2 linked regions of the Oryzias latipes genome follow. The protein of the gene in region 1 interacts with the protein of each later gene in a pairwise test. Links are inferred from orthologs where the notes say so. Each region holds a gene or a part of one and is shown on either strand. Other genes may lie near its edges.

Evidence for each region.
Region 2: the proteins of rho GTPase-activating protein 7 (region 1) and rasa1 interact in binary tests that used the Homo sapiens proteins (3 or more experiments, as listed by UniProt). The link is inferred for Oryzias latipes from reciprocal best matches to the Homo sapiens genes DLC1 and RASA1.

What each region holds. Positions count from the first base shown.
Region 1 is NC_019859.2:13,855,121-13,858,885, forward strand, and holds the end of rho GTPase-activating protein 7, read right to left. Parts: coding exon 3,575-3,765; intron 2,651-3,574; coding exon 2,477-2,650; intron 2,380-2,476; coding exon 2,280-2,379; 3' UTR 772-2,279; downstream 1-771. UniProt on the Homo sapiens protein: Functions as a GTPase-activating protein for the small GTPases RHOA, RHOB, RHOC and CDC42, terminating their downstream signaling.
Region 2 is NC_019867.2:14,730,199-14,734,125, forward strand, and holds the start of rasa1 (ras GTPase-activating protein 1), read left to right. Parts: upstream 1-1,609; 5' UTR 1,610-1,864; intron 1,865-1,984; 5' UTR 1,985-2,315; coding exon 2,316-2,830; intron 2,831-3,927. UniProt on the Homo sapiens protein: Inhibitory regulator of the Ras-cyclic AMP pathway. Stimulates the GTPase of normal but not oncogenic Ras p21; this stimulation may be further increased in the presence of NCK1.

The sequences.
Region 1 (3,765 bases):
GTAAAGTGGAAAATGTAAAGATAAAAGAGTGCAAAAAACATTTGGCTCCACTTGTGTTTGATCCTTACAAAGCTCTAGATGATCTCTGCCTCTGCCCAAGTACTTCATGATGCTATCATAAAACAGATTTGTCTTTGCCAAGACCTATAAGTCATGTTAGAACCTGTTTTTGCTGTCACAGAACATGTTGGAAGTAAATCAGAACGTGTTCAAGGTTTGCAAAAAGTCTTCTGTTTGTTGAGGAGCAGTGCATTACAAAACAAGGGCAGCAAACCCCCAGACCCTGTTTTCCAGAAAAAAAGATGACAGCATGTCACTTTGTGACTTAGTGACTGAAAACATGAAGAGGCACATCAGAACCTGTTCAGATCCTTCAAAGCCCCCTTTTGTTTAAAACATGACAGCCCTCCTCCCCTTCTTTTCAGAATCCTTGCCTTGTCTCGACCAGGTCGGCTGAGGCACAGCAGAGCCGTCTGCTTTCTAATACCTTTGTATGAACCATATGGAGTGAGATCACCATCGTCCAGACCCCTCGGGGCCAATAACAGATCCACTGGTGTGGAATGGAGTCATGAGACACCGAAATACAGTCACAGGAAGAGAGATCTGCATTCAGATTAAATGAGAGCGGGTGTAATTACTTGAAACAAAGTTAATCATAAACAAGTGACAGTAGAAATTATGATGGATTAGAAAAGGAAAACAAAAATAGTGACAGACTTAACTTTCTTGCATGGTTCCTATATGCATAGCAAAAAGCACATAAAACAGTTAGTTTAATACATTTAATAGTGCATTTTGATTAACCTGTACAGAAATAATATTATTAAAAAAGATAAAACTTTTTGTAACACAGAGTTTTACGTATACAATACAATAAAATAAATGATATAAAAACAAAAACAAACATATATCTGAGGTATAAATATATTTGCTTTAAATTAACTGTCATTGTCATGCATTATTATTTGGCAGAGACACAGTTACAGCTAAAAACATTTACGATGTGAACAACGGTTTAGTGAATTTATGATACACGTAACATGAACAGACTGAAGCGCAACTGTTACAGCCAAAGAAATGTTTCAATCTTGGTTTAAAACACAGAATCTTTGCAGAATATTTGTCCTTCCTTTAAAAATCTACACATTCAATCTGCCCTCCTCTATACAGTAAAACCTGTAAAATCCCCACCTTTATAAAAGGACCTCTTTTTTCCTCAGGTTACCTTTCCGTGCAGAGAGAAATTAATGTTCAAAGTCAGATAATTGCGTCTTCTGTGCTTGTTTGATGTAAAAGCAATCATAACTTTTGCCCTTTCTTGTCTTTTTTCTTTTTACCTTTTTTAAGTAAAATAAATGTGCTGTGCTCTACAGGTATCAGTATCAATATCAAAAACTTTTCATCCTTTATTCATTTGGCCCTTTAAATGTCAACAGGATTTTCTTGTAGATTTCAAACTTTTAAGCATTTTGGCTTTGTATTTCAACGTTGAAACCCGATTTTCCTGATCAAAAGCAACCTCGATCAAACTATTGGATGAGGCATGGCTGAAAGAGATTTTTCCTTTTATTTGTCTTCCAGTCAATTATGTCCTTTCTTTGATCAGTCATTTCATTTTGGTGAACCAGCCACCAATACTCCTCTGCCTCCACACTGAAACACTAAAACCTTGTGTACTATAGGCCACCTGTCATCTCACGATATCCTGTTTATTGGCCTCACTCAGTCTGCAAACTACCAGCACATTCGCATCTTTCGACACCCATAGATTTGTCTATCAGCTCGCTATAATAACGTCTCCTTTTCTTCCTGTGCTTTGCTGTAACAGAGAAGGGGACGGAGGTAACACAAAGCGGACACCGACTGGCTCTACGCGACCAGAGCACACTACAGTATATGTACATATTATTCTGTTCCTGGGGGAACCACAACAACAACCCATACAATTTTATTTATTTATTTAGATATACGTTTTTGGCTTTTCCCATGTCCCTCCTTTCACTCCCACTTGAGATCCCCCTTGCTTCTCAGAAGCGATAACGCCGTTTTAAATTAAGTCGGAGGCAAAACATCCCGTGTCAGAAACATAACGTCCCGAGGCCCAGCTAGTTCTGTTAGTCCTCTTGGCAGTCCCAGTTTTAAAGGGAAAAGCAGTCTGTTTTGAAGAAAACAGTTCCTTTAATCCTGGTTTATGTTTATCAAAGGATCAAGAGACTTTCACTTCATCTGTATTTTGTTGAAACAAGGCATTCCAGTCAAAACGGCGTGCTGCTCTCTTATTTGTCCATGGGCACAGAGAAGGATTCCCGAATCCGTGCCACCTCAGCAGCACACAAGTGTCCATAAAGCTTATTGTACCACTCCGGGAAACGACCCCTGGAGAGAAGAAAGATTTGCATGTTTGATGAATAAATCAGTGACTCGAAGTGCACTGTAAGGCTAGTTTTATAAAATAGTGTAACATTATGCCCACCTGCAGTCAACTCTTGAAATGTGTGTAAGTCTCGATTTGTTGGCCCCGCAAGGCTCTATGAAGTAGCGTGATGTAAGGACGTTGGCCCGGACGCCTACCATCGGCGCCCCATCATGGTCCACAGATGAACTCACGAGTGCACACGCTCCCTTCGGCAGATCTGTCACCCAAGTCCTGGAGGACAACACAAAGGTTGGATAAAGTGTTATGCAATGTGCACAGAGGCGCATGCGATGCGTGCTCAAGAACGCGGAACCTGCACTTGAATGTGAATTTAGCATATGGTGTTCACACTGGACTGCCACTACCCAATACTAGCATTGGAAGAGGCTTGGTGCCAAATGATAAAGTGGTGCAAATCTCACAAATCTTGTTTCAGGCTTTTTCTTTCATAGCTCTATTTAGATATCTGAAAGACTTGGTGTCATAGAATTGAATTGGTTAATTCAAAAGGGGCCCCAGTCCACAATTTTTCAAAATAGAGATATTATATGTTCTATGGTCTTCAAGGGAAAAGCTATCTGATTATGTGCAAAAAAGTCCCAAGTCCGTTGTAATATATTGACTATGCTTTACATTTAAAATGCATTAAGTGTAAAATTCCTGGACTTGGGCCTCTCTTGCACTGGTTTTGCTTTATCCCATAGATGGCAGCACTAGTCATCCAATATGGCAGCGCCCCTGTTTAATTCAAGAAGGGCCCAAGTCCAGAGACTTTAGTTTGCTAGTCCTCTGAAATTATAAAATTATAGCATTTGTAAGCTATGAACTGGTGCTAAATCTGGGTAAAGTATTAATCATTTGGTGTAGCCTCCATTTAAGCTATGCAATTAAAATAATTTCCTGGAAAAACAAACCTCTTGGACTTGGGCCCCTTTTGGACTAACCGATTCAATTCCAGCTGGGCACAAACCGTAATTATTATAAACGGACTTAAAAACTTGAGTGAATGCGAGAGTTTTGAACGTGCATATATATGCGTTTACATAGACTTTCATTGTAAGTGGTCACATAACCATGTATTGGAAAGTAGCATTACATTGAACAACAATGTAAAATAGAAAGTAAAGACCAGGATGAGATGAGGAGAAGGTCTACCTGAGCACCACATGGTCTCTTGTGGGATGTGGAGCCATGGTGTTCCTGACGTACTGGTAGACTTCTGTCCGCTGATCAAGGGTTTCCACGACTCGGCTTTCAAGCAGATCCTCATCCCACTGGCCCTGCTCCCGCAGCACCCGAGTCAGAACCTCCTCAGGACTGGCATGAATTTCTACGGTCACTTTCCA
Region 2 (3,927 bases), on another chromosome or scaffold:
TGCTCTGGAGTCGAATAACATTTCAGATTTTTACCTAGATTAAAGTATTTAGATCCTTGGCTAGGCTGTCAAGCAGTTATCACAAGAGTATCAACTAATTGTGTCATTACTTTAAGAAAATGTTATTTTCTCTTTGTTGGTTAAATTGTATGTTTTCTTGTTTTATCACCACTGCAATTTATCAAAGGTGTATTAAAAATAACATAACATTTTTATTGTTTGTGGGAAAAAAAGACACTGGTCAAAAATATGAGCATGTTCTGAACAAATGTATAAATTTTAGAGAATGAGAATGAACAAAAACATCTGTAAACGCTATATGTTGCAAAAGGATAATTGTGATTTTTTTTTTTTGAATATGTGTGCATAGTTATAACGTTTGGCAGGCTGAAGTTTTATCACATTGATTGCACAGAGTAACAAAATAAAATCTAATGCTAAACAAATGTTAAAGATGTTACAAATTAATCATTTTATAAATCTATCAATTAGAAAAAAAGAAGCCCTAATGGGACAATATACAATGGAAAAATCATGACTTTAATGCTTTTTTCCCCTTCTTTTTTATGCTTTTGTGTTTATGCGAATAATTATTATATGTTTAATATGTAAAAATGTATGCATAAAAAATAATAATCTTAGGGGTGGCAATTAATATTATTTTCTTCTACCCACTCCTTTTTCAGGGCATTTAGCACTTTCTATTTATCATATGTATCTATTTCCTTTTATTTTGTGTTTGAAAATAAAAGGAAATTAACCAATCAATCCAAACATGAGACCCCTAAAATGAACGTTTAAGGCAGAGGGGGGGCGTTCAAAGCTCTGATAATGTTTGGTATAATGTTCCACCATCTGGAACCCTGAATACAAAAAAAAATCATTGTGAGTATTGATTTTAGAAGCGATTGATATTTCTTAGAGCTCTGCCCTTTTATGAATGTGTTTGAAGAGCTGGTTCCCAGCATGGAGTCTCTCTATTAAACTGGAATTACTAGTTTGAATCTGAATCCTTGAAGCCATGACCGCTCCTAGCAAATAGCAAGTTTACAAAGTAAACTATACTTGCGTATAAGTATAACAGAAAGTATACTATGGACCATGTACTGTAGGAAATATAGGCTTCTAACTTAACACTTTTTCAGACTAAATTGGAACATTAAAAGTCTACACAGTATTAAAATAGTATATAAAAGGTAAACTTTAAATAGATTGTCTCACTTTAAATACAGACTAAATTTTTGCAAAGTCTAGCCGAGACCCTAACTTTTGAGAAAACAGCAGCTGCAAGACAAACACATAAATGAAGCTTAGTTGTTCAAATCAGCACTTAAAGTAATATTTTTTTAAAGAAAAGTGACTCAGGCATGACACTAGATGTAAAAAAAAACAAACTCATTACATTTTAATAGTTGGCATTAAACTTGGGCAGAAACCAACACAATTGTTGTGTCAAAAACGAGGTTCAGTTTGCTGTGATTATTTTGCAAAAGTGTGTATTAAATTGGATTTTAGCAGTGCAGCAGCCCACTCCGTGGGACGATTGAAGATGTCATGGACCGAACATGGCCAGCTCTGCGTTCAATTAGCCGCGCCTGTTCGGGACTGGACGAGAGCGGCAGAGGGAGGGGTGAGCGAACAGCGCAGCAGCGGCGGCGGCCAACAAGCCACCAGCTCCAAGAAAAAGAAATAAACGCCAACTTCGCCTCTGCGTAGGGCAAAACCATACTTTGTGAAGTCCCTTTATTACTACCATGGGAAATACTACCTTCCTGGGGACCTAAACGACAAGGAGTCGTTTATGGACTGGATTTTTAGACGGCTCCGAACTCAGAAGGAAAGAAAACAACACTGGGGAAAACGGGTATTATTACACACTCAACAGTGACAATAAAACATTTTTTCGACAAGTGGTCCGCCTGGTGCCGAGGGTGAGGTTAAAATTGGAAAACGGCGAAACTGTATTTTTTTCTTTTCTTTCTAGGATAAACCGTGGATTTTCTCGGTGGCGTTTCTGTGTGAACTTTAAACTTGGGAAACAATGGAGACAGCGAGCACAAACTCATGAAGTGTCTTGAGGCTGCCAGCCGTCCCGCTAGCGTTAGCTTTACTGTCTTATTGGGTAATGCGTGGTGAGGCTAACGGCCGCTGCAGCTAAGTTAGCTGTCGGCTAACGCTAGCTGGTTAGCCCGGCGCGGTTTTCAGAAACTTTTTGGGTTGTTTCCACGGAGTTCAGACGCTGAATAATTCGTCTGAGGACAGAGGGGAAGGGCGGGTTCCCTTTGGTACTTTCCTCCCTCCACTCACTTTCATACATGATGGCTGCGGAGGTCAGCGGGGAAGAAACCGTCACATCAGGGGTGGCAGGCGGAGGAGGCCCGGAGACGGCCCCTTTCCCCTACTACTCCAAGCCAAGTAGAGTGGGAGTCACCGATCTGGGACAAGGTCCGACACAAACTCTCCGTCAATTTTCAAACACCTCTCCGGACTCAGTCCCCGACATGAGCATAATGTATCCCGCCTCTGCTGGGGACATGCCAGCTTCAGCAACAGGAGGAGGTGGTGGACAGTCAGGTTTTCCTCGAACAAACTCAGGGACCGTGAGCAGCACGTGCCACTCTCCCAATTCGGAGGATTCAACGAGCCAGTTTTCACCCACATATAAAGGCCCAGATAGCCCCACTGCCTTCCCCCCGCTGCCCCCGCCACCCCCAGCCCCAGCAGGCTGCGCTGGGCACGGCGTCACCATGGATGAAAGCGATATGCAGGATGGGCCGGAATGTGAGGACGACGAGGTGCTGCTTGAACTGTCTGCACCACCTACGAACCAGTAAGTGCAGTCCTTTTACTTTTATGTTAAAAGTTATTTTCTGTTGAACCTTCCAGTAGATCTGGTCAGTTCTTCTTATTCTCCAAACAACCATTAGGATAATAATCTTTTATTTCCACCAGGTTAATAAGTAACAAATAACAAAATGTCAATGTTGGCAAACACGTTTTCAGCTTCTTAACATGGCCCCTTAATATAAACTATTCAAATCAATAAACACAGGTGCTTACAAAAGAAATATTGATTTCTTGTTTTGGGGAAATGCAAATTACTTGGGGCAAGGCGCATCAGATTGTTTTGAAACTGGATGCACTTTTACATTTATAATTGTAATGACTTCCCCTCCACACCCACACGAACACACACTGTAACCCATAAATGTCAAAAGATAAGAGATCCTATTGAATCACTGTTATTTTCTTATGTAACCAGACATATGATCATTGACCAGTACCTTAACATTATCAGATTCTTTTTTCCACACGTCCAGTATGTGTTGACATGAGATGTGTATTTATAAGAGGAATGGAGGTCTCTATGAAACTATAATAGTGAATAAAAATAGAACTATTCACATAAGGAAACTGTTTAATAGTTCTAAACGCAGTGAAATGCGTACTGTTTCACCCAAATATCTATAAAGTGTATGATGAAGTAGTTAATGTCAGGTCTGACTCTTTTGTTGCGCTTACTTGAATGTTAGTGGAGTGATCCAAAGAAAGAATAGAGAACTTAAGCAGTTAACCCACAGGACTATTTAAAATCCCTTATCATTTATAATGTTTTGTTTTGCACTGGGTACATCTGCTGAAGTGACTTTCAGTTGCAGATAAACAGAAAACCTCATCCTGTTGCAAAACTTTAGTGCTGGGAAGTCCACAAGTATAAGAATAGCATTAATATTTATTAGAGTAACTAAATGTATGAATCAACATATGAATATCAATCAAAATATATTTGTTTTCATTTTAATTTATTTTTTGGTACAGTCTAAAATTCATGAGTATCCAATATGCAGAGTCTACTGCAGCACAAATTCAAAACATTACAAAGTAGAGGTGGAGAATCTGGCTAATACTTTGTTTAGAGAGATGCCT